Callithrix jacchus: one gene and its partners. The protein of the gene in region 3 interacts with the protein of the main gene of each other region in a biochemical or structural test. Links are inferred from orthologs where the notes say so. Each region holds a gene or a part of one and is shown on either strand. Other genes may lie near its edges. The genes, in order: ZFAND5, USP47, UBC, BIRC2, WDR48, LTN1 and ANKIB1.

Region 1 (4,067 bases), on a different chromosome or scaffold from region 3:
ACCTGAAGCGCAACAAAAACCGTATCAAGGAGAGAGAGGCGTAGCAATCTTTAATCACCCAGTGATTTTTTTTGATTACGAACTTTGAGAAACACTAAAGGGACCTCTTCTCCATTCTATATGTGGCTAATATAAGCCCTAAAAGTCATTTCTATGTATTCGTTAGATCATTGTTTACTAGAAAATTTGGGAAGTCCTTTCGGACTTAGTAATTTCATTATTTTGAGTTGAACTGAAAGTCACTTGGATCAGTCAGTTGTAAATGGTTTGTGCTCTGAAACGGTTCCCAGTGTTTCGAGGTAAGTCATCCTTTCACCCAGGGGGGTACCGGTTCCTCGTGCCTGAACTGCCCGCCCAGTACCTCCCCCCTTGAACTTCCTCCCGCAAGCCTCCTCCTCCGCTTCATCTGGGCCTCAGGTCTAGCTTGTTTTGTCCCTTCGCTGCACTTGAGTAGAACATTTGGTGCTTTCCCAGGACACTACATTTTGCTGGAATGGTCAATTTCCAGGGATTTTACAGGCTGGCCAAAACAGTTTGTTCAGAACAGCGCCGCCGGGGCACTGGCAGCCCTAGGCACTAGTAGCCCTGAGAGGCAGCGCGTTTCCTCATCCGCACAGCCACTCGTGACCTTGGGCAAGCGAAGGCGCGCCGCCGGCCGCGTCAGGGCCACGCTCAGGTTGGACTTTGGAGCTGAAAATGGGGGTGGGGAGTGAGGAGGTTTCACAAACAGAAAAGACCCCAAAGCCATAAGGCGGTTCTCATTCTTTTTTGAGGGTTAATCCTTAAAATTCCTGGGGGAGGGAATGTCTACCCAGGGTTGGAGACAAAGCGTGAGAACCAGGATGGCGAAAAACGAGCCTGAATGAGAAAATCCGAAGGAGGGAGGCTGAGGGCGGACAATTGGGTTAAAAATAGAAACGCACCCTCCTCAGGACTCGCTCTTTCCAGCTCCACCCAGAGGCCGAACGCCCGGCCAGTGGCTGGCTCCGCGAGAACCGACAGCGACCCGGCTCAGCCCCGCCTCCCGGACCTACTGACTGAGCGCCGGGGGCGTGGCCTCGGGCCCTCGACGTCACCGCGGCCGCCGCTGTCGGGGTTTTCGCTGACGCACGGGTCCCGCCCCCTCCCCCTCTTTTCCCTCACAGCCCGGCCATCGGGCTGCGAGCCTGTTAGTCGGCCGGGAAGCGAAGCTGTGTGCATCCTCTACGCGGGCTTGTTTGCTCCCGGGAGCCGCGCAGCTTTCCCAGCAGTGGCAGAAGCGGCGTAGAGCGCCATCGACGGGCCCTTACGGCCCCAAGCCTCAGGGCGCGCGATTCGCTCCCCCTTGTCCGCCCAACGTGCCGTCTGTGGAGGCGTGAGGCGACGACGGGCGAGCGCCTAGTGAAGCGTTAGCCGCTGCGGCCTTCGGTCCTCCCTCTGCTCCTCTTCGCCCCCCCCGCTTCCCTCCTCCCACTTACCGAGCTCCGGCGTGTCCCGGCCACGCTCGTCGCCGCTGCAGGAACAAAAGAAGACCCCGCGGCGGCGGCGGCGGCGCCACCTCCGCCTGCGGCTCCGACCCGCTCCCGGCCCGCGGCGGCGGCGGCACCTGGGCGCCCGGCTCAGCCTTCCCGGAGGCCTCAGCCCGGCCTCACCGTGCCGGCTTCGCGCGCGAGCCCGGCTTTCGCATTTGGGGCCCCACAGGGTGAGTGGTACGGGGTTGGGGGCTGGAACCGGGTTCCTTAGGCCGTGCCGGGGGCGGGAGTGAGGGGACGGGCGGCGAACCCGGTGCAGGCCGCGGATGGCGGCGTCCGGGGGAGGGGAGCCCGCCCGCCAGCTCAGGAAGCACAAAGACGGAGGCGTCATCCTGTCGTCGTGGCCCGAGGCCTGGCTCCCCGCTTCCCTGGCTCGCTCCAGAGCGCTGTCGGGAAACAATGCCCGGCGTGCAGCCTCTGCGGGGCTGGTCTCTAGGCCGCTCGCCTCCCGCCCGGCCGCCCTCGGCGGCGGCGGCATCCGGCGTAGGCACCAGGACCCGGAGAAACAAAGAGGCCAAGGCGCCGGCCGCGCCCCCTGCCCGCTGCAAACCCCCCGTTCCCCCCCCCCCCCGCACCGGTTTTTTCTCTGAAGAGCCGTTCGGGGTCGGGGATCGGCGTGGGGCCTGCGGGCGAAGGGCGGGCCGGGCCTGCCGAGCTGCTGTTCTGCTGTTCTGCATGACTCAGTGGTTTTAGGAGAAGGCCCTACTGGGCTTTCCTGAGCGGGGCCTTTGCTTGGAGGGGGATGGGGGAGCAGTGGGACCCGAACTTATTCTAAAATCCATTGGAACATGGGGCCAGGGATTCTCGACGTCGCTGCATGTCTACCCTGAGATCCGTTTTCATGGAGGAAGTGGAGCACCTTCTCCTTTGTTTGATGCATTTAGGCTGGTGAACGTAAAAATTTTGATCGCTTTCCACGCACCTCGCGGAGCTGTGTTTTCGGGGAAGGGTCGGGCTATCTTTTATTGATTGAATGTCTATTAAAGATATAATTTATCATCCAATCCAAGGAGATACTAAGGTAAAGGAACATGTAGGTCACACATCCCGTTCTTAAACCTGGGATTTAGATACAGATTCCTAAAAACCTAAACGAATTCTATTTTATTCCTTATTAGGATTGTTTTTAAAGTAGGATTTCTTAACTCGGTAAAAATATTGCAATTTTATCTTTAAAGAGTTTTCTTAAAATGTTCCCCCACGCCTCCCTAAAAAATTAAGGATTCGTTGTAGTTCTCTCCTGTTTTCTATCTCCCAGGCCCTGAAAAGGAGCCTTTAAAAGTCAATCCTCCTCCATTTGACAAACAGGGAGCTGAAATCTGGAAAATAAGGACTTGCCCAAGGTCACTGGCTTAGTGGCAAACTAGAGACTTGAACTCAGTTCTCAATTCCCAGGTGAGTGGGAATTCATGCCGTCTCATAACGTCTTGTGCACCTGAAGTAACTATATTCCATGGGTGTAAAAGCTCTTTGTTCAGAATTGGAATTGATGAATTTTTCAGTTACACTCAGGTTTTTTTTTTAAGCTGTGAGTTAGAGGAAGCCATAAACTTTATAAAATAAGTGTTTTGGTTATACCTGATAGAGCTGACACGTGCATGCTTAAGTTTCTAATTACTTTAAAGGTGATAAATATAATGGTATTTTTTTTCTAAAATACTGACGAGAAGGGAAATGCAACCTGATGATAACACACATTCTCCACTTCATCCTCCAAATAATTGCCACTAAATGAGAATTCTTTCTTATACGCTCTCTCCACTGTGCTTAGTTTTTTTATAAACAACCTTGACCATTTTAGCTTTGAGTGATTTTTATGCCTTCATCTTCTAGATTGAGATTGTTCTGTAGTTCTTTCTCATTAGGAAAAAAACTAGCAGGCTCTTTTGTTTTCTTATGTTAGATATATGAACGCTGCATCCTTAGTTCTTGGGGTTGTGTAGGAGTTGGCAGGCTTTGAGATATAAATAGAAGCTGATTTCAGAGGCCCCTGTTGACTAGGCTTTATGTGAGAGCCTCCATCCAGCTCGGCTTGTCACATTGCAGCCTTGTGACAGGCTGAAGCGCCCTCCCATGTGATCTAAGCTTCTGAGAAATATTAAAGCAAGCTGTGCACATGTGATGGCATTTAAAAGCTGGCTTTCTAGGTGAAAAAAACCTAAAAGATGGGAACCCGTGTAGAAGACTCTCATGTCATGGTGCCCCTTGTGCGTCTCGCAGTTGAAGGTTATTTATAATGAAATGAAGGTAGACATCTTCTCTGAAGGGAAAGTGGAATACTTTATGTCAAAGTGTGTGAAATCTTTAAATGGAGTATCCTCCATTTTATTTATCTAAAAGATTTTAACAATCAGATTAAAATTACATATGTAGGTTGATTGCTTGGCCTTAAGCCAGTTTGTTTTTAAAGCCAACGTCAGATGACAGTGGACATTAGTGTAGAAAATGTGAGCTGGCATACTTAAACTGGTTTTAAGGAATGACCCAACTTTTATGCATAGGGCAAAGATTCACACATTTTGTGCATGGTGGGCATGCAAATATGTACATATTTAT
Region 2 (3,500 bases), on a different chromosome or scaffold from region 3:
TATAACAATGTTATAACAGAATGTTATGACAATAGGATGCTATAACATTCTGAAAAATATGATCTTTGCCTTTTTCTTTTAGGTGTTTGTGGTAAGGCTAGTATACCACAGGGACTAAAATGGTTCATTGATGATTCCTTAAAAAACATAGCCTGTTTAAGATCATTAACCACACCATTTACAAGCAGTGTGACCTTGACAAGATACTTAACTTCTTTCTGCCTCAGTTTAACTATAGAATGGGAATAAGAAATAATGCTTGTATCATAATTGATGAGGATTAAATGAGTTAATATTTGCAAGCACTTAAAGCACACAGTAGATACTATATAAATGCTTGTTACATAATAAAATGACTTTCAACTGCTCTTCACCTGTAGCATTCTATGATAATTTCCAGAAAGCAAGCACACACAAACACACATAAAATTCTTTTTAAAAGCAGGAAAATGTTGTCTCATTTCAGCATTTGTAGCAACACTTTAGAGCAGAGGGATGACAAACAGTGGTCTGAGGGCCAAGTTCACTGTTGCCTGCTTTTGTAAATAAAATGTTGAGACACAGCTATTCTCAATGGTTTATTATTGTCTATGGCTCCTTGTGCTACAACAGCAGAAGTGAGTAACTGCAACAGAGGCAGTACGGCCTGCTAAACTACAAGGCTCAGAAAACATTTGCTGACCTCTGCTTCAGAAAAATAAAATGACTAGGAATAAAATCTCTACAATGTATGTTTTTAGTAACTGTAAAAAGTAACCTTATATTGTTCTTAAATGTATTACTTACCTCTTGTTCATTGACCAAAAGCTGGTACACTTTAACTCTGTATTCTCCTTTTTTAAGTGCTCTCCCCAGTCGAATTGTAATCTATAAGTTAAAAATATTTTTTTAGATATGCTGTCTCAGCAGAATAAACAACCCATTCTCATCCCATTTTAAACCTTCCAAAATTCTCTAGATTATAGGCTCTCTGAGAACAGGCATAACTTTTACCTCTGAATCCCTAGCACCTAGAACAGTAACTGACCCACAGTTAACATTTTACAAACATTTGTTAGATGAGTGAAGAAAAGCAACAAAAAACCCCCCAAATTACCATTAAACATTTAAAAAAAAGTTTCTTCTAGTGTATCTACTTCACCCTACTTGGAAGTAGTAAAAGCTGTTCTCAAATCTATCATTCAAAATAGACTCTAACTGCTTGAAGATTATTTTAATCAACCTTATTGTCATCAGAAAATGATGAAAGTGTCTCATTCAGCCGGACGCTCTCAAACTCTTGATTGCTGGCATACACTCGAAAGACCTTGAAGTGAGAGGATAAAACTCCAACAAAGGGCTCTAGGTGTTGTTTGAAAGCTGCCAGAGTAATTCTTTTATCAACATGCACCATCATCCCTAAGCACACACATACAAAGAAAAAAACAAAGCAGGAACAAAATGTAAAAGAAACCTGAGTATAAATAAAACAGATCATATACTTTTTATAACACTGTTGCAGGAAAAAGTACCCCTTTTCAGTTAAGCTAATATATCACACTGAATGGAGAAAAATCATGGACACAGAGTTTCTGGTAAGTATTATCCAACAGCTTAAAATGTTCTGAGCTATTTAAGTGTTTGTTTGCTTAGGCTGCCAAACTCAAAAACAAGCTTCTAGGAATTCTTTTAAAATATACACATTTCTAGCTCTACACAGTCATGGTGTAAGTTCTAGTGGTTCCAATCCTACCTCCTCTGCTTACTTACTATATGGGACATGGCACCAGTCACCAGCCGCTGTACCTCCATTTTCTTTACTAGAAAAATGGAGGTGATAATAGTGCCCACCTGAGTGATGCAATATGATTTCAGTGACGTAATTCATTTATCATGCTTTCAGCGCAGTGCCAATATAGTAACTGTCTCAAAAACTGTCAGTAATATTATCTAATTTTCAGAATTTTCACTAGAAAAAATGTCACGACTAGCATACTAAGATGTCTGATTTATCATATGGTTGGGCTGTAACAAGAACTGTATTTAAATGGATCAGAAACTCTTACCTCTTCCAGGCTTAAATTTAAGCTCTCTTGCTACTGTAAAGATTATCTCTGATGAGCTTGATTTTTCTCTAATGCTTATTATTTTAATCTTTTGTCCCTAATTTTATAAGCCACTCATGAGGACACATCTGGAATGCTTCTACTGTGGTCTTCATATTGTAGTAAAAAGCAGAAACCAGACTCTCTGCTAATAAGGCAGGGCTACCATGCTGCCTCAGACTGCTGGACCTCCCTGGCTCTAGGGCTCCCTCCATGTTAGGTCTTGTTTTTCTGTGAAAGCTACTTGGAAGGTAAAGGATGAGGTACTAAAACACTCCTGGTTTACATTCCCATGTCATATCAACGCTTAGGTTGAATTTTTCTCAGATGACTTTTTTTTTTTTGAGACGGAGTTTCACTCGTTACCCAGGCTGGAGTGCAATGGTGTGATCTCGGCTCACCGCAACCTCTGCCTCCTGGGTTCAGGCAATTCTCCTGCCTCAGCCTCCTGAGTAGCTGGGATTACAGGCACGCACCACCATGCCCAGCTAATTTTTTTTTTGTATTTTTAGTAGAGACGGGGTTTCACCATGTTGACCAGGATGGTCTCGATCTCTTGACCTTGTGATCCACCCGCCTCGGCCTCCCTAAGTGCTGGGATTACAGGCTTAAGCCACAGCACCTGGCTGATTTTTTCAAATAAAATAATGTTCACTGCTTTCCTGGCTATAAAATATAGGTTCATTAATAGAAAATGTGACAAGTACAGATTTGAAGAAAATATGAAGAGGATGATGAACTTTATTCATTATCTACCTTTTGAGTTTTGAGGCAGTATTTCTCTTGATTTGTTTAAAATGTCACTTTTTAATCTATAAGGAGTACCCTTCTATGTCAATAATCCAGCTTATGGCAAACAAGCTCTGTCTATGCTATCCAATAAAGGTACTAAATTTCTTAACAGAACAGTGTCATCCAAAAATTACTTGATTAGAATTTGAAAGCCTATGGCTAGATTTCAGTTTTGTCACTTTACTCTGATAAATGGCTGTAGGGAGGTCATCCAATCTCCCTCAGCCTCAGTTTTCCCATGTGATCATAACATATAGTAAAAGTCTTTTCTAAAGCATTAATCAAATGTAAGCTTTTATGAATATTCTGGTTTCTTTCCTAACCTCTAGTAGTGTTATTTCATAGGAAGACAAAAATGTTTGTTGGTTACTGATATAGTTTAACGTGGTGATTATAATCGACTGGTTCTAGAATTTGATGGCCTAGACTGAATGAATTCCTGGCTCCTCTTCATATATCAGATTTGTGACTGTGACTTCTTAACTTCTCTGTACTTTAATTACCTTTGCTATAAAATGGAGATAATAGTATTTAAACCTCAAAGTTGTGTTCTGAGGCCAATACATGTAAAATGTTTAGGATAGCTTTGGTAGAGTGTTAATTTATTGGCTATAACTACTTTGT
Region 3 (3,748 bases):
GACACCCCGACTCTGCGGGAGGCGCTCAGTTCCCGCCCCACGTCCACCGAACACGAGTTGGCGACCCGTGGCGACCGCGGGGGCTGAAGGGAGGGGGTGCACGATCGCAGCCGAAGAACGCCGGCCGCCCACCGACTCCAGGCGCCGCAGTTCCGGGCCGGGTTTTGGCGCCTCCCGCGGGCGGCTCCCTCCCCACGGCGAGCGCCGCTACGTCACAATCGCAGTGCGCAGCTAGTGCCTTGATCCCTCCGCCCGGCCTCTCAGGACGGCGGCCCGCTGCCCACCAGACTCGGCCCAGAACCCCAGTCTCAGCAGGAGGACATTTTAGGACGGGACCTGGGTGACTCTAGGGAACTGGTTTTCTTTCCAGAGAGCGGAACAGGCGGGGAAAAATAGTCCCTTCTCGGCGGTTCTGCGGAGGGATCTCCTCGGGGCGGTGTACGCCGATGACTATATAAGGACGCTCCGGGCGTGGTGCAGCTAGTTCCGTCGCAGCCGGGAGTGCAGTTGTGTTCGTGGTTTGTCCGTTGCTGTCATCGCCGCTTGGTGAGCAGTGGGGTTCTGGGCGGGCTGGGGCTTTCGGGGCCGAACGGCCGCGAGGTGGGATGGAGGCGGGTTGCCGCCCCGGGTCTAGAGACTGGGGAGGGCTGTCGGCTGTGTCCGCTAGAAAGGTGGGCTTGAGGTGGGGAGAACGCAGCAAAATGGCGGCTGTTCCGAGCGCTGCGTGGAAGACGCCTGTGAGGCGGGCCGTGAGGTCGTTGAAACAAGGTTGGGGGGCATGGACTCAAGGCTTGGAGGCCTTCGCTAATGCCGGAAAGCTCTGATTCTCGTGGGATGGGCTGGGGCACCATTGGGGGACCCTGACGTGAAGTTTGTGATTGACTGGAGAGCTCGTCTTGTCCGTTGCGGGGGTAGCGGTTACCGCGTGGCCGCGCGGCAATGGGGCGCGCTGTGGGGGGGGGAGAGCGCGCCTTCGCTCTGTGGTGACGTCACCCGTTCTCGTTCTGTCGGCTCATAATTGCGGGGCGGGGCCACCTGCCGGGAGGTGAGCGGTGGGCTCTTCTCCGTCGCAGGACGCAGGGTTGGGCCTAGGGTAGGACCTCCTGAATCGACAGGCGCCAGACCTCCCGAGAGGGAAGGGTAAGCGAGGCTTCAGTGTCTTCGGTCGGTTTTGTGTACCTACGGTTGTAAGGAGTTGAAGCCTGGGTTTTGAAAACAGGCTGGTGAGTGTGTTTTGTGAAGTAACGCAAGTTTTAATTGTTTGGGTCAATGTGACATTTAACTTACAGCATTAGGAAGGCTAATAAATTGCTAAATCCTGGTGGTTTTTGGCTTTTTGTCAAAACAGACAATGCAGATCTTCGTGAAGACCCTGACCGGCAAGACCATCACCCTTGAGGTCGAGCCCAGTGACACCATTGAGAACGTCAAGGCCAAGATCCAGGACAAGGAAGGCATCCCTCCTGACCAGCAGAGGTTGATCTTTGCCGGAAAGCAGCTGGAAGATGGGCGCACCCTGTCTGACTACAATATCCAGAAGGAGTCCACTCTGCACCTTGTCCTCCGTCTCCGAGGTGGCATGCAGATCTTCGTGAAGACCCTGACTGGTAAGACCATCACCCTTGAGGTCGAGCCCAGTGACACCATTGAGAATGTCAAGGCCAAGATCCAGGACAAGGAAGGCATCCCTCCTGACCAGCAGAGGTTGATCTTTGCCGGAAAGCAGCTGGAAGATGGGCGCACCCTGTCTGACTACAATATCCAGAAGGAGTCCACTCTGCACCTTGTCCTCCGTCTCCGAGGTGGCATGCAGATCTTCGTGAAGACCCTGACTGGTAAGACCATCACCCTTGAGGTCGAGCCCAGTGACACCATTGAGAATGTCAAGGCCAAGATCCAGGACAAGGAAGGCATCCCTCCTGACCAGCAGAGGTTGATCTTTGCCGGAAAGCAGCTGGAAGATGGGCGCACCCTGTCTGACTACAACATCCAGAAAGAGTCTACCCTTCATCTCGTCCTCCGTCTCCGAGGTGGCATGCAGATCTTCGTGAAGACCCTGACCGGCAAGACCATCACCCTTGAAGTCGAGCCCAGTGACACCATCGAGAACGTCAAGGCCAAGATCCAGGACAAGGAGGGCATCCCTCCTGACCAGCAGAGGTTGATCTTTGCCGGAAAGCAGCTGGAAGATGGGCGCACCCTGTCTGACTACAACATTCAGAAAGAGTCCACTCTGCACCTCGTCCTCCGTCTCAGAGGTGGCATGCAGATCTTCGTGAAGACCCTGACTGGTAAGACCATCACCCTTGAGGTCGAGCCCAGTGACACCATCGAGAATGTCAAGGCCAAGATCCAAGACAAGGAGGGTATCCCTCCTGACCAGCAGAGGTTGATCTTTGCTGGAAAGCAGCTGGAAGATGGGCGCACCCTGTCTGATTACAATATCCAGAAGGAGTCCACCCTTCACCTCGTTCTCCGTCTCCGAGGTGGCATGCAGATCTTCGTGAAGACCCTGACTGGTAAGACCATCACCCTTGAGGTCGAGCCCAGTGACACCATTGAGAACGTCAAGGCCAAGATCCAAGACAAGGAAGGTATCCCTCCTGACCAGCAGAGGTTGATCTTTGCCGGAAAGCAGCTGGAAGATGGGCGCACCCTGTCTGACTACAACATCCAGAAAGAGTCCACTCTGCACCTTGTCCTCCGTCTCAGAGGTGGCATGCAGATCTTCGTGAAGACCCTGACTGGTAAGACCATCACCCTTGAGGTCGAGCCCAGTGACACCATTGAGAACGTCAAGGCAAAGATCCAGGACAAGGAGGGAATCCCTCCTGACCAGCAGAGGTTGATCTTTGCCGGAAAGCAGCTGGAAGATGGGCGCACCCTGTCTGACTACAACATCCAGAAAGAGTCTACCCTTCATCTCGTTCTCCGTCTCCGAGGTGGCATGCAGATCTTCGTGAAGACCCTGACCGGTAAGACCATCACCCTTGAGGTCGAGCCCAGTGACACCATTGAGAACGTCAAGGCAAAGATCCAAGACAAGGAAGGCATCCCTCCTGACCAGCAGAGGTTGATCTTTGCCGGAAAGCAGCTGGAAGATGGGCGCACCCTCTCTGATTACAATATCCAGAAAGAGTCCACTCTGCACTTGGTCCTGCGCTTGAGGGGGGGTGTTTAAGTTTCCCCTTTAAGGTTTCAACAAATCTCATTGCACTTTTCTTTCAATAAAGTTGTTGCATTCCCAATTGGTGTGGGTTTTTTTTTAAGTTAAGGTATTTTTGCATTAGATAGGGTGAAGGGGATCAAGGTTTCCAGTCCGCAAATGTTACCGTGGTAACCATGAAATGTCAGTGAATGGGGGGAGGTAGATTTACAATATGAACTGTAGAAAGTGGGTGCAAATAAAACGCAGGTTCAAGACCAGCTTGGCCAACATGGTGAAACCCCAGCTCTACTGAAAATACAAAAAGGTGTGGCAGGTGCTTGTAATCCCAGCTACACCGGAGGCTGAGGCAGGAGAATCCCTTGAACCCAGGAGGCAGAGGTTGGCAGTGATTTGAGATCGCAGCACGGTACTTCCACCTGGGGGAACAGAGCAAGACTGTCGTAATCAGGTTATTGGGAGATACTTTTTCAAGTTACTTAAAAATACTGGTTGGGGGTGTGTGAGGTAACAGGAAGGGAGAAGGAATATTAAAAGGTGGGAGTGATGAGAGGGTCCCTGTGAAAGAATGAAGTACATAGG
Region 4 (3,500 bases), on a different chromosome or scaffold from region 3:
ACTTGACAGCAGTGGTTATAAATTTTAACAAGAGCTCACACTGCTGTCTATCTTTTCTCAGTCTATTACACAGGAGATAGTCGTCATGTACCCAGGTACTCCTATTCCTATTTTCCAATCAAATACTACTAAATCCTTCATGCAATCCTCCTGAACCATGGTTTCTAAGACTCTTATATATCTTGGTCACCTTTCTCTGATCCAGTTAACAAATCTGCCAATACCTTTCTTGAAATGCTGTGCCACAAACAGAATGGCCTTTGTAGGTGTGACTGGTACATAAAACAATGGATTATTACCTTAGCCATTTTAGATATCATAACATACGTATATTACATAAACTGACAGATGTGGTTAACATTAAGCTCTAATCAAAAGCTATACTATTTCCTGCACTTGCATTTAAATATAACATACGTGACTTAAATACCCAACATCTAGTTCAATTCTTGAATCATATGTAAACTGACCTTTTCCAAATCATGCTAGCTCAGAGCAACCTTTTCCTTTCTGGAGGGCTTATTATTTGCACCTCTTATTTGGTGTTGCTTTGAGCTATTTGTTTTTCTTTTGCTTCTGTCTCATTTCTCCAGTTGGAATGTCAGCACTAAAAGTGGTAAGTATAGCACTAGAACAAAGACTAGTATATTTTTATGATCCTCTAGTTTTATTAACAACTCTCTCTCTCTCTCTCCACATATATATATATATATATATATATACACACATATATATAGTATTAGCTAACATCCCAGTTTTTTTTCTTATGGCTTCAGAAACACTTTTAAAAAATACATACTTTGATTCCTAAAAAATTTTTTTTTTTTTGTGATGGAGTCTCGCTCTGTCACCCAGGCTGGAGTGCAGTGGCGCAATCTCAGCTCACTGCATCCTCCACCTCCTGGTTTAAGCTTTTCTCTTGCCTCAGCCTCCAGATTAGCTGGGACTACAGGCACATAACCCCCGGCTAATTTTTTGTATTTTTAGTAGAGACGGAATTTCACTATGTTGGCTAGGCTGGTCTCAAACCACTGACTTCAGGTGATCTACCCTCCTCGGCCTCTCAAAGTGTTGGGATTACAGATGTAAGCCACTGCACCTGGCCCATTCCTAAAATTCTTATATAAATTTCCACTCCATATTTAAAATTAATTCATACATACTTGGTGGATCAGCAATTTCATCTCCAGTAGTGTCTGAAGTTAACAACAGCTATGAAACAAGAGAAAATAGGTAAAATCAGAGATCCCCAACAATCTGAAAGGAACAACACTTTTAAACTAAGTTTACTTTAAGTGTATACAATCTTTTGAGAACTGAGTGATTTATGACCATCACTTTGCTTTCTTTTACCTAAATACATAGATTTCCTTAAATTTCATGTTATCCCAAATTATAATTCAAGTATTTCTCTAGTTTCAAGAAAGCAGAAAAATGTATTAGTGGTTTATCATTCCATTTGGAAAGTAAAATTTTAACTGGGTTACTCTCAAAGGGTGTCAGCTCCTAACAAGTTATTTTTTGTTTGTTTTTCCGGAAAACAGCAAAGAGACACTAAAGAGCCTTCTCCAATCCATCACGAATTTGTACAGTGGCAGCACAAATGATTTTTCAAAATAGTAAAAACAATATTTTTTAAAAAGCCCTAAACAATCAAGTTGGTTACAAAAATAAAAATCAAAGGTGTCATTAATATGAATGAAATATGTAACTGCAATTAATAAAACAGGAACAAGTATAACTTCTTTTTTCGAGACAGAGTCTCGCTCTGTCTCCAGGCTGGAGTGCAGTGGTGCAATCTCAGCTCACTGCAACCTCCACTTCCCAGGTTCAAGTGATTCTCTTGCCTCAGCCTCCCAAGTAGCTGGTACTACAGGTGCACATCATGACACCCAGCTAATTTTTATATTTTTAGTGGAGACGGGGTTTCACATGTTGGCCAGGATGGGCTCGATCTCTTGACCTTGTGATCTGCCCACCTCAATCTCCCAAAGTGCTGGGATTACAGGAGTGAGCCACTGCCTGGCCAGAAATAAGTATAACTTCTAATGTAGGTTGGTGCAAAAGTAATTGCAGTTTTGTCATGACTTTCAATGGCAAAAACCACGATTACTTTTGCACCAACCTAATAATATTTTTGTTATTATAAAGCAGAATTCAATGTTGTTAATTTTAAAAATGTATTTACCTGTTCAAGAAGATGAGGATATCTACCTTGAATCTCATCAACAAACTCTTGCCCTTTCATTCTTATCAAGAACTCACATCTAAAACGTATGAGGAAAATTACTTTTAAAAACTGTTTCATATCAAATATAACCTGATCATTCTAGAAAAATGGTTTTCAGATCATTTATTGTACTTCACAGTAAAAACATTTTATATCACAACCCAGAACACATACATAACAGGAACAAAATTATCATAAAACAATATACATCTTACTGTATGTTATATATCATGATATTTTCTATTTCAATCCATTAACACAACAATAAAAAGAAAAGCATGTGCACCTACAAAGGGGAACAAGCTAACTCCTGAAAAATGCTATTATACACAATTTATTTTGTACTTAAAGTGGACTACTTAACAGTTTCACATAACTCAATATTCCTAAAATGTGATCTTTCACAATTTAACGGCTAATCTTTCTTTAATGCTCACTCTTCTATTACATTTGAACCACAATCAACTACCTTCCCTCCAAAAAATATAGAATCAAATATTTTTATCTACATATTAAATATGACAGTGTTTCCAAATATTTGTTTTTAAACTGATAGGGCTTATCAAAGATGTTCTAATAAGTTCACATCCCATCTATATCCATTCTATTCCTTTTGTTTCTTCAACAAATGATACTACACAACTGGATACTCACATGGAAAAAAAAATCTCTGACTTATCCCCATATTATATGCAAAAGTAAAGTAAAAATGGATCATACACCTAAATAAAAAACCTAAAATAATAAAACTTTAGAAAAAAGCTCGGGAGAAAAATCCTTTTGTCTTTACATTAGGTAAAGAATTATTAGATAAAAGACCAAAAACATAATCCACAAAAGATAAAATTGATAAACTGACATCATCAAAATTGAAAACATCTGCTCTTCAAAAGTCAATGTTAAAGAAATGAAAAGCCACAGCTCAAAGAAAGTTTCCAAGAGTGATATCAGCAAGATAGCAGACTAGGAGACAATAGCCATCCTCCGCCCAAAAAAGACAACAAAGAGGCAGCTATCCACAAACAAATACAGCTCTGGGAGGACACAATGGCCCAATAAGGCTACAGCAATACAGTGGGGAAAAAACAGGGAGAATAACCGCGAAGAAAGGAGAGCTAGGAGATATGCTCAGCAGAGACACCTAGAGAAAAAGGGGTGAGGGCTATCTGTATCAGTCATGCGGTGAGTGCCATCACGGTCCTCAGTGGCAAACACCGCTAGGCTCCTCCCCAGAGCAGGTCTCCAGAGACATCCACTAACCCTCAAGATA
Region 5 (3,078 bases), on a different chromosome or scaffold from region 3:
CCTGAGAAAAGATGACCACGTAATTGTATCAACTTCATCTAAGCATGTGGTTTACTTCATGGTGGACGCCTGGGTTCTTAGCTGAAGTTTCCACTCTTTCTTAACACCTCAGACCTCACTCTGACGTCAGAGGGAAAGAAAACGGGAGGACCTTGAGTGGCCTTTTCAGTTGGATGATGGGCCTCGCCAGCACAGAATCTGTGGCTTTGCCCAAAGGTGAATGCCATGGGTTTCTGTCAAGACACTGAAGTTTTTGTTTGGACCTTTAGGTATCAACCTCAATATTTTAATGTAGAAATGAGAGTTTGGTTTATATGGCTTAAAAAATTAAAGTTTGTTTCCCTTTAATGCCTTCCATTGTTATCTAAGAAGAGCCATGCTACAATTTCATATTACCACTAAGTTACATATATTTTTCTGATGAATTTTCTCCAAGGATGACTTAGGTAATTTGATAGCTTACTATAAATTTCATAGAAAGCCACTTTTAATTTTAAGATAATTATTACTTGCAAGTCATGTTTTCCTGTTAACATTATTTTAGTTAACAGCTAATAGAAACTATTATACCTTTTTAACTTTTACTGTTTCAGAAAAATATGCCCAAATTCAACAAAATTCCTTTCTACCTCCAACCTCATGCATCTTCAGGAGCAAAAACCTTAAAAAAGTAAGTAAACATATGGTTTCTTGATCGAATTAACTACTGGAGATAATTCCTTTTCCTTATGATTGCTTTTGTGGCAAAGGAAGCAAATACCAAATCTAAGGCTGATTTTATAATATTGAAAGTTTATGATTAAACCACTTACCAGGTACCAACTTTAGCCGACTGCAGGTGTTCAGAAGTAAATAAGGCCAGGCACAGTGGCTCATACCTATAATCCCAGCACTTTGGGAGGCTGAGGTGGGAGAATTAATTGATGCCAGGAGTTTGAGACCACCCAGGGGAATGTCGTGAAACCCGTCTCTAGGAAAGATTTAAGTAAAAAAATTAGCTGTGCATGGTAGCACACACCTGTAGTCCAAGCTAGCCAGGGGGTAAAGTAGGAGGGTCCTCAGAGCTTTGAGGCTGCAGTGTGCAAAGATCATGCCACTGCACTCTAGCTTGGGCAACAGAGAGAGACCTTGTCTCTAAGGAAAAAATGATAAAATAAATAAAACATGCATTTTGTCTGTTGCCATAATTCACAGTTTAGGACACAACCTGTATATAATTGCTGTTTGGATACTTAGGGAATAATAAGAATGGGAGAAAAAAATGAGTTTTTGGCTGGAGCTTTCCAGACAGGCTTCTTGAAAGACGTGGAATTTGATCTGGACATGTAAAGATGGGTAGAACTTCGAAAGATAGATATTCCAAGTCCAGGACATGGTGTGATCAGGGATGTGGCAGTGGGAGCATGTGTAAGATAGTGGAAAGTAGTGGGAGGACCCGTGCAACTGCAGCGTGGGATGGAGGGGCAGCAGGGGGATACTAGGACGGAAACTAGAAAGGCGGTTAGAGGTTTTAGAGGTTTTGCTGATGCTGGATTTGAATGCCAAGCCATAGAGTGTGCAGTGGCTAAACACCAGAAACTTTTGAGCCAATGTGGGATATGGCCTAGGGACACCCAAGAGAGGAATTTTAGTAGTGTAGTAATGGAATGCTAAACTGTTAAGAATATGTATATTCTAGCAAGTAAAATCGAAAGTTTTCAAAACCCTTTTATTACAGAGATTTCCGAACTTACACAGAAAGGATAGTGAGCCCCCATTGTCCTATCAGATAGCTTCAGTAATTATCAATACCTTGCTTAACATTTTGCTTCATCTATACCTCTACCTGCCCTCTCACCCACCTCCCTCCACACACATACACACACACACACACACACACTCACATACACGATTATTTTAAACTGAGTCCTAGACATCACTTCAGATAGACTTAACAACTGATGTTCAAATGGTTTTCAGAGTGTAAGCCTTAGTTTTTTGGTGTGGTGGAGATACAGAAGTAGGGTGTTGATGAATCTAGTTTGGGACATGCAGAGTTTGAGGTGCCTGTAGGATATCCAGCTGTTGGATTTGTGGTTTAGAACAGAAGCCTGAGACTCCAGGTCTAGACTCAGGCCCACAGGTGCTAGTTGAAGGCATGGCAGTGGGGAGGAGAGCCCAGGGAAAGCTGAGCACTCAGTGTTGGACCCTGGTAAGCATTGGGAGCTGCCTTCCTTTCCAGAATTATTTAGTTTGCCCAGGCTCTGGGAAAGCATTCAAGGGAATAAAACCCAGAAGGCTACTATGTATGCATATGTAGTGTTTTTGTTTCTTTAGTTGGTTTGTTTTTTTTTTAAATGGAGCCTCACTCTGTCGCCCAGGCTAGAGTGTAGTGGCATGATCTCGGCTCACCGCAGCCTCTGCCTCCCGAGTAGCTGAGATTACAGGCATGCACCACCACACCCAGGTAATTTTTTGTATTTTGGTAGAGACAGGGTTTCACCATGTTGGTTAGCCAGGCTGGTCTCGAACTCCTGACCTGAAGTGATCCACCTGCCTCGGCCTCCCAAAGTGCCGAGATTACAGGCATGAGGCACCACACCTGGCCTGTACATGCAAGTTTTAAGGACATGAATTAATCTCATTTAGTTGTACATAAACTGTGTCTTTGAAGGACACTGTAGAAAATCCTTTGGCAACTCTAAAAATGGATTAAGGGAATGACTAAAAACATGGGTTTATTTTTCATCTTTATAAAACGTTCACATCAAAGAAAAAGAATTTGGAAAAGATAATACCTCAGTGATTTCCCTGATGTCACAATATGCCATTGCTTTTTACAGAGATAGACTCTCTGCTAGTGACATGCTCCAGGTCCGGAAAGTTATGGAACATGTTTATGAAAAAATTATCAACTTGGATAATGAGTCTCAAACCACTAGCTCTTCTAATAATGAAAAACCAGGAGAACAGGAAAAAGAAGAGGATATTGCTGTGTTGGCAGAGGAGAAAATTGAACTTTTGTGCCAGGACCAGGTAAGTGGACTTGAGGACCACAGCCCCATTTTTGCCAGTGCTGGTGCTCATAAGGAATTACGT
Region 6 (3,500 bases), on a different chromosome or scaffold from region 3:
CAGAAACTTGCCCAGGGTCACACACCTAGTTGATACCTGATGGCAGAGTGGGACTAGAACTAATGGTGTGACCTAGAGACATTTATCGTAATGTTTTATAGACAGTATGATATTCTATCTATAATGTTGACATTTTGATTTTCATTTGTCTATCTCCTAATACATGGGTTTGGAATTTGAGACAGTTCAATGCCAATAGCTGAACTGTGGCATAGCCAACTAAAGGGAAAATAAAATAGAAGAATGAACATATGGATAACAGAACCCATATGTTCATTCTGTTACCATCCATGACAAAGCCAAGAACAAATTTATTTTTTTAAAGCCTATGAAGAGCCAAATTAGTTGTCTCAAAATCCATTTCCTAAAACTCTTAATGTCCAAACTCACGACACTTCACTCTCATAACATTTATCGCTTGGCATTTTAAATCAACCAAAAATTCTCAAGTTACAGATGGGCTAGAGAACTCCATTTGAGCATATGATTAAAGCTACAAGCCTTCTCCCTAGAAAAACAAGCTTGGTACACCTGAGAAATGAAAAATGGAAGAACCTAAATGGGGAACTAGAATCAAGTAATGTGGTGGGAAGTGTTCGGTGAAGAGATTAGACAGGTAAGCAGGGACCAGATCGTGCAGAAATTTGCCTTATATTACACCATAAGACAAGTGTATGTGAAGACAAGACATTTGAATTGATAGTGTAATGGAGAGCCACAGCAGGATGGCTAATTGAAAGGAGAAAGGAAAATAGAGAGAGAGGGTCAGACAGAAATGTTTAAGTAGGGTTATACGCAGGGTGTTGTGGAAACATAGGAGTACTAAATAAGGGAATAAATGCAAGCATGGACTTTTTTTTTTTAATTATCAAGTCCCTCCTCACTCCTACTTCATCTACTTTATTTCTCCATATAATTCTAACAACTCTGTTGTCTCGTTTTTCAAGGCCATATATTGGGAACAGCAAATAAAGGGGGAAGAAATAAGATACTACTAGAAACAGACACACTGAAAGCCACAAACAGGTATGGCTGGTAACTTTTTATGAAAAAGTTATGGCAAAAGTGTTGGCCCAGTGTGAAGAAACTTTATCTGATAATGGGAGTATAAATTTGTTTGGCCTTCTGAAGGGCCAGTTATCATTTTTTATAAAAATTTTTAATGTTCTTATCCTTTGGCCCAACAAATGCTTACTACAAGTTCTAGTATGTATCACTCCCACAAGCGTATGAAGAGTTCTACTCAAGAATGTTTACTGAAGTAGCATTTGTTATGATAAAAAATTAGAAAAAAATTCAAATGTATATTAATATAAAAAGAGTTAAACTATAGTACATTCAAGTAAAGTTACACCAGAAAGCCAACAAAAAGAGACTAAGGTAGATCTGTATATATGTACTGAAATGGAAATATCAGAGAAAATAATTTAGATTTATTCTTAGATACATTCTTTGTTTAGATTACACATTATAAAACATATCTACTTTTTTAAAAAATAAAGACTTCAAAACTAAAATGAAAAATAGAAATACTGCAGAAAGATCCAATCCAAATGTTAAATTGTTACAGATCCAAATTAGTCAACTTTACTAAACAGAATCTTAAAATGGCAATCTTCAGTTGGAAATATTATACTTACTCATTCCCCTGCAATCCTAAGTAAAAGAGCTGTCATTATGGTATGCTTATAACCTGAAACACTTAAAAAAAAAAAAAAAAATTCAGAATGATTCCAGAACTTACACTTGTAATTTCATCTTTACAAAATGCTATGGCTTCAGGTTGCTTGCTTGGAGGAAAAGCCGCTTCAAATGCATCTTTTGCCGCAAAAGCAGCTGGTGTGTAAGTATCACACTGAGCCATTAGCCAATATCCCATTAAACTTTTTAAGTAGGGAGCCAACTGTTTCTTTACTTTAAGGATAAGTTTTTCAAAAGCTTGCTGTGTGGCTTCTCGGACCCGACGATCATGATCCTATTAAAAATATAAATGTGATTTAAAATAGCTCTAGTCCAGAAAAACAGTCACAGACATTTCCAAATATGCTATAATGACCCATTACCAAGAATTCACCTATGTATTGAGCCAAACTGAAATCAATTTTTTAAATCAATAATTTAGAGGTTTTTTAAATCAGAAATTATGTAAAATAATTAATTTTTCTTTCTCCCCTTTTCCCAATGATAGGATTATATTCAAAACAGATTCAAAGTTGAGCCTTGAGGCTGAGCACGGTGGCTCACACCTATAATCCCAGCACTTTGGGAGGCCAAAGTGGGCTGATCATTTACAGACAGGAGTTTGAGACCAGCCTGGCCAACATGGTAAAACCCCCATCTCTAATAAAAAATACAAAAAATTAGCAAGGCATGGTGGCACACACCTGTAATCCCAGCTACTCAGGAGGCTGAGGCAGGAGAATCACTTGAACCCTGGAAACAGAGGTTACAGTGAGCAGAGATTGTGCCACTGCACTCCAGCCTGGGTGACAGAGCAAGACTCCGTCTCAATTTAAAAAAAAAAAAGTTGGGCCTTGAATAATTAAGCAACTCACTCTCATTCTTCTGCAGCAAATTTACAGGGAATAAAATAATTGTCAAAATGTATTAAAACTGGAAAGCACCTGGGTAATTCTCTAGTAACAACCTTATTTCTGAAAACAGATTTCCTCAATGTTCTTCATAACCCAACACAATCCAGTAATTTTCTTTTTTTTTTTTTTTTAAAGACGTTGTCTCTCTCTGTTGTCCAGGCTAGAGTGCACTGATGAGATCTTGACTCACTGCAACATCCGCCTCCTGGGTTCAAGGGATTCTCCTGCCTCAGGCTCCCAAGTAGCTGGGATTACAGACATCCGCCACCATGCCTGGCTAATTTTGGTATTTTTAGTAGAGACAGGGTTTCACCATATTAGTCAGGCTGGTCTCAAACTCCTGACCTAAAGTGATCTGCCCAACTCAGCCTTCCAAAGTGCTGGGATTATAGGTATGAGCCATCGTACCTGGCCCCAATCTTTTTTATTTCTACACTCTTCTCCAGTGTTAAAAATTCAATCTGTATAACAAGACTAATCTAACATTTAATAACCCTCACCAAAAATCAACCTTACAAATTTGAGAGTCTCCATGACTCCAACCAAAAACATACAACAGAAATAAACTAGCAAAGTTTGAATACTTACAAGTGAAATTTTGCAAAAAATTCTTGGCCAATATGGAAGAACTCCTTTCACAGTTTCTGTGTCTCTCTCTGTACACATGGTTCCAAATTCCTGCATAGCCTAAAATTAAGTTATTAACATAATTAAGGATTAACAACTATACTACTGGCTATTATTACTCTGTTCTGGAAGCTTTGTCTATTGTATGTAGCAGGAGAATACACCATTTCTGTTTACGCCATAGGGGACTAGTCTGAAGAGCTCCTTCACAGGCTACTATGGGAGAAACTCCACAGTTGTTTTTTAAAAAATAAAACATCTACAAAGAAAAAAACCTCA
Region 7 (4,292 bases), on a different chromosome or scaffold from region 3:
TCTCTTTAATAATGATTTAGTCCCCTCCCAAATGCTTTTTGGCAAATGTGTCAAATATTTGAAGGAAATCTTTTAAAACTTAATTTAAATAAATGTTATGTGATCTTCAAAGGGGGAAAAATTACCCAAAACATTCAGGAATCTTTTCCAACTTCATTTCAAGGACATTCAAATTAACTTAATTCATAGTTCGTCCATCTACTTATATATGAAAATGAGCTTACACTTTTATCTACAAGCAAGTTGTAAATACGCATATTTCACTTTCACAAGTTTGAGTGCATACCCCAGAAAAGAAAGTAAAGAAAACTTACTCTTTGAGAAGTGGGCAGTGCCACAGGAGTACAAAAGAATGGCTAACAAAATTTCCCTCCTATGTTTCAGTTGAGTGTATTATTAAGGGTGTGGCTTTTGCTTTCTGTAAAATTGGTCAGTTTCTGAATAAGAGTAGGGTGCTATAGTGGCTCCCTCCTATGTTTCAGGAGCCACCTACCTGTTAAAGCCCTTGTTTACAGCACAGTCTGCTCAGTTTCAGAATCCTTACATACTGAAAACTCAAAATTCTCAGTGGGACCAGTGCAATAGGAAAATATAATCCTATCTTCCCCATCCTACCCCAAGGAAAAGAGAGAATCAACAAATACTTTTTTCTAAGACTTCTCCAAGATAGCACCCATCACCTCACCATTGCACCCTACTCTTATTCAGAAACTGACCAATTTTACAGAAAGCAAAAGCCACACCCTTAATAATACGCTCAACTCCGTACAGTGCTTGGTTTCTGTGCTAAGTACATTTCCAGAGAGAGAGCTGGAGCTACATCTCCTGAGCCTACTTCAAATTAACATCTGTGAACAGTGAGAAGTTACAAATCAAATAATAGCCCCAAATCAACTGATGAAATGAGATTTGGGGGAAAAATCATTAAATATATCCATCTTTCTTAATGAAATGACAATGCTTTTCAGCAACACAAAACACCAAAGCTACCAGTTCATACTACACAGTAGTTTGAAGAATACCAATCTGCAGTACAGAGTAAAATTATTCTTAAATTATCATTTGCTTCCTATGGTGCTCTGAAAAGTAGCAGATGCATGAAGTCAGATAAGAGCTATTGTTCAATCACTGTCAGCATTAAAATTATTTTTAAATCTAATTTCTGGAAAGTTCTGCAGTAGCAGTTTAAAAAGCAAATCAAATTCTAATGAGAAAAAAGTCTAGTTCAAAATCTGAAAATACACTTTGAAGATATTCACAATTTAAACTAAGAAGCAAGAATGTCATAGGCAGCAAGGTGTGTAATATCTGTGAGTAGCTGATTTCTCTGGAATTAAAAAATTTTCTCTGGAATTAAGGATTGAAAATAATTATCAAATACTATCTAATATGATCTTTTTAAGTTTCTTGTCTCCATTACCAAAGCAAAAGCTTCCAATACAAAGATTTTCACACCTTACACATACCCACATACTTCACAAATTAAGAACTAGATGAAAAACACTAAAATTTAAAGGTATCTAAAATACACTATTTGAAACAGCAGACTCTTATCTTTACATTCATCTAACAGACCTACTAGTAAAGATCTTCTGAAATGGATGGTCATTTCAAACAAGATTGTTCGACATGCCATTCCGTGTGAAGAGCTAGGGAGACTAATTCTCAAAACATCCTCAGGAGATGCTTTATTACAGCTCCAGTTTCAATTTCCTGCATCTCAAACAGCCACGTACAGAAAATAGCTCGTACATAGGGAGAAAAATCAGAATACAGGGGAGCGCTCCACTCTTTTGTTTTGGTGGCAGAAGCTGCAAAAAATAAAGGTTCACTGGAACCATCTGCACCTATCCCCACCCAGCACAGCCCTGCAGAGCACTTTTACCCATCCATTCCTAAAGACTCTCTCTAGCCGCCGAGATCGGCAGAACCCGCGGCTTTCCACGTCTCAAAGGATGGGCAGGGGAGGATGCGAAGAAGGACACAGATCCTTTGAGGACAGAGGGACAAGAAGATGTATCCAGATGGGGAGGATGGGACGCGTCACGGAGACCTGGAGGCTTGCAAATTCCCTGGGAGAAAAGCCCTATAGGGGAGACAGAGAATGCTGCCTGTTCAGGGGTGAGGACAGAGGGACAATGCTCCAAAACAGGAGACAGGCACACTCCTAGTAGATCCAGGAGGGCGTGAACTAGGTAGCTTTGAACTCGGAGCCCAAAATCGGTAGAGAGAGCCTCAAACAGATCCGTACAGAAGCTGAGACTTACGGTTACCGCTCCCGCCGAAGGTAAAGGTCGGTGGACCCTGCAGCTCCGCAGTTCCGCCTCCGCCGCCCCTGCCTCTACAGCCGAGCTGGTGACCTCAGGTACCCTGCCGCCCCACCCACCCCGACGGGTGCCCCTTCCTCGCCTGCCCGAGTGCACCCCCGACAGGCGAAGGCTGATGTGGCCGACGGTGCGCACTGGCGGCCCGCGAGCAGCAAGAGCCAGAGGCGCCCGCGACGAGGCTCAGACAGGGTGGGTGCCCCCCATCCCTCTCCGGCTGCCGCCGCGCCGCCTCACTCTGGGGAGGGGAAGAGGGGGCGGTGGCTCTTGCCTCCGCCTCGCGGTCAAGTCCGGCTCATGCTCCAGCTTTGCACGCTCTCAGCCCAGGCCGCCCTCTTCCCCTCCCCCGGCTCCGGCTCAGCTGCTGGCACCCCCGTCACCACCACCCTAGTCTCCTAGTCGCCTGCCACCGGCCCCTGAGAGACTGCAAGTCCACCGAGAAGCAGCAGGAACGGCAGCAGCCCGGCCGCCGACCCGGAAGCTCTTCCTCCGCCAACCGCGAGGCTGCAAAGGGTGTGGACCCGGAAGCGATTTCCTAGCCACGGTAGCTGCGGGGTGGAAAGCTAAGGCCTCTGAAGACCTGGGACCCCATAGTTTCGGGAGAGGGTGAGGGTTGAATGATGCCGAGGTCCGAGGAGAGGGAAGGACAATAAAGAGCAGGTGGGCAAGAGGGTCTCCGACTCCAGAGACCTGAGCTTTTGGGGCCCCGGGTGGGGAGCGCGGGGGAACACTGCGGTCGGCTTGGCAAATGAGGGTTTTTCCGTCACAGGAAGCTGGGCCAGGCTGCTGTGCCTGGAAGAAGGGAAGGAGGAATGAGAAAGCGGTGACGGTCCCTGCCTCCCCCCCCCCGCCAGGTGACTGTCCCACTCATTTAGTTGAATGTAGCGGCCGGAGAGGCACTCGCGGCGTCCGTACGGGTGGGACCTCTTGGTTCCTTCTGGGAAACAGAAGGAGCAAGTTCGACTCCAGCGAGGGAAAACAGAGGTGGGAGACTGAACCATCTCCACATCTAGTTGCCCCAGGCAAGGAGTTTATTTTCCACATTTAGTTACAGAGAAACCAAAGCCACTTTTTGGGTGGAAACTCTTTGAGCAAAGAGACTTAAATTTTTCTCTGGTAGTGGACGTCGATGGGTGGTGGCGCAGGAAAAAAACCTCCCATGCAAAGTGATTACGTATTTTTGTCATTGCAGGGAAAGCGATTCGCAGCTCACTTCTAACTCATTTCTCCCTCTCTAACTCATTTCTTGCCTCCACACCTTTTTCCACCTTTTAAGGTTTTTTGCTTTCATCGCCTTTTCTACGTGGTGTTTTTAACCTCTCCAGAAGTCTTTTATCTCGCTAGTCTAACTCAGGATCTCAGCCTCATTTTCTTAACTCTTCTGGAGCACCTATGTGTCTTTACAGTTTCTGTTTGCAAGCACTGTCTAGCATACTAAGGATATTAGCAAACCTGTTCCATGGACACTAAATGGCAGTTGTACACCTCCCCTCACCAGTCATAGTGACAACCAGAAATGCCCTCCATATTTTCCAGTGATCCCAGGTAGGTGCCACCTCCCAATTAAGGAACCACTTACACCACTTTATTTATAACGTTTCATTACTTAGGCAGCATATTATCATTTGTGCCTAACATTTTCTAGAATACAGTGAGCCATATAACAAAATGCCACGTTTCCTGTACTTATTCAGTTGAACCCTCATCTCAGACTCACTCTAAACATATTGCAAACTCTAGTTATACCTTTCTCTTATTTTAGCTAAAACTACTCATTTTCTATCAATTTGTAGGTGTTTCTGTCTTAGTAGTTTTACCTTCCTATGTTAGTTGCTTTTGTTGTTTTCCTGACTTAAGCCTTTGTTTCCTTCTTTCATGTCTCTGGAAGAATGTAGATTTTAAGTAGTCAAGTAGGAATAGTTCTTGAAAATCGTTGTAAGAATATTTTGGGGACATGGTAAAAAAGTA

What was found.
Region 1: the proteins of UBC (region 3) and ZFAND5 form a complex in vitro, tested with the Homo sapiens proteins (5 studies listed by BioGRID and IntAct, with this or other methods). The link is inferred for Callithrix jacchus from reciprocal best matches to the Homo sapiens genes UBC and ZFAND5.
Region 2: the proteins of UBC (region 3) and USP47 form a complex in vitro, tested with the Homo sapiens proteins (2 studies listed by BioGRID, with this or other methods). The link is inferred for Callithrix jacchus from reciprocal best matches to the Homo sapiens genes UBC and USP47.
Region 4: the proteins of UBC (region 3) and BIRC2 form a complex in vitro, tested with the Homo sapiens proteins (6 studies listed by BioGRID and IntAct, with this or other methods). The link is inferred for Callithrix jacchus from reciprocal best matches to the Homo sapiens genes UBC and BIRC2.
Region 5: the proteins of UBC (region 3) and WDR48 are reported together in a solved structure, tested with the Homo sapiens proteins (2 studies listed by BioGRID, with this or other methods). The link is inferred for Callithrix jacchus from reciprocal best matches to the Homo sapiens genes UBC and WDR48.
Region 6: of the proteins of UBC (region 3) and LTN1, one has a biochemical effect on the other in vitro, tested with the Homo sapiens proteins (2 studies listed by BioGRID). The link is inferred for Callithrix jacchus from reciprocal best matches to the Homo sapiens genes UBC and LTN1.
Region 7: the proteins of UBC (region 3) and ANKIB1 form a complex in vitro, tested with the Homo sapiens proteins (2 studies listed by BioGRID). The link is inferred for Callithrix jacchus from reciprocal best matches to the Homo sapiens genes UBC and ANKIB1.

Annotation. Positions count from the first base shown.
Region 1 is NC_133502.1:92,473,291-92,477,357, forward strand, and holds the start of ZFAND5 (AN1-type zinc finger protein 5), read left to right. Parts: upstream 1-1,267; 5' UTR 1,268-1,681; intron 1,682-2,117; exon of another isoform or gene 2,118-2,532; intron 2,533-2,769; exon of another isoform or gene 2,770-2,819; 5' UTR 2,820-2,906; intron 2,907-4,067. Other genes in the region: uncharacterized protein LOC144578672, read left to right, coding at 291-676, 949-1,267. UniProt on the Homo sapiens protein: Involved in protein degradation via the ubiquitin-proteasome system. May act by anchoring ubiquitinated proteins to the proteasome. Plays a role in ubiquitin-mediated protein degradation during muscle atrophy.
Region 2 is NC_133511.1:77,826,860-77,830,359, reverse strand, and holds part of USP47 (ubiquitin carboxyl-terminal hydrolase 47), read right to left. Parts: intron 1,399-3,500; coding exon 1,223-1,398; intron 868-1,222; coding exon 787-867; intron 1-786. UniProt on the Homo sapiens protein: Ubiquitin-specific protease that specifically deubiquitinates monoubiquitinated DNA polymerase beta (POLB), stabilizing POLB thereby playing a role in base-excision repair (BER). Acts as a regulator of cell growth and genome integrity.
Region 3 is NC_133510.1:128,100,836-128,104,583, reverse strand, and holds UBC (polyubiquitin-C), read left to right. Parts: upstream 1-1,336; 5' UTR 1,337-1,351; coding exon 1,352-3,181; 3' UTR 3,182-3,248; downstream 3,249-3,748.
Region 4 is NC_133511.1:2,401,419-2,404,918, reverse strand, and holds part of BIRC2 (baculoviral IAP repeat-containing protein 2), read right to left. Parts: intron 2,268-3,500; coding exon 2,189-2,267; intron 1,213-2,188; coding exon 1,164-1,212; intron 1-1,163. UniProt on the Homo sapiens protein: Multi-functional protein which regulates not only caspases and apoptosis, but also modulates inflammatory signaling and immunity, mitogenic kinase signaling, and cell proliferation, as well as cell invasion and metastasis.
Region 5 is NC_133518.1:76,948,039-76,951,116, forward strand, and holds part of WDR48 (WD repeat-containing protein 48), read left to right. Parts: intron 1-593; coding exon 594-670; intron 671-2,822; coding exon 2,823-3,015; intron 3,016-3,078. UniProt on the Homo sapiens protein: Regulator of deubiquitinating complexes, which acts as a strong activator of USP1, USP12 and USP46. Enhances the USP1-mediated deubiquitination of FANCD2; USP1 being almost inactive by itself.
Region 6 is NC_133522.1:35,055,263-35,058,762, forward strand, and holds part of LTN1 (E3 ubiquitin-protein ligase listerin), read right to left. Parts: intron 3,282-3,500; coding exon 3,183-3,281; intron 1,976-3,182; coding exon 1,745-1,975; intron 1-1,744.
Region 7 is NC_133512.1:57,373,075-57,377,366, forward strand, and holds the start of ANKIB1 (ankyrin repeat and IBR domain-containing protein 1), read right to left. Parts: upstream 2,801-4,292; 5' UTR 2,268-2,800; intron 1-2,267. UniProt on the Homo sapiens protein: Might act as an E3 ubiquitin-protein ligase, or as part of E3 complex, which accepts ubiquitin from specific E2 ubiquitin-conjugating enzymes and then transfers it to substrates.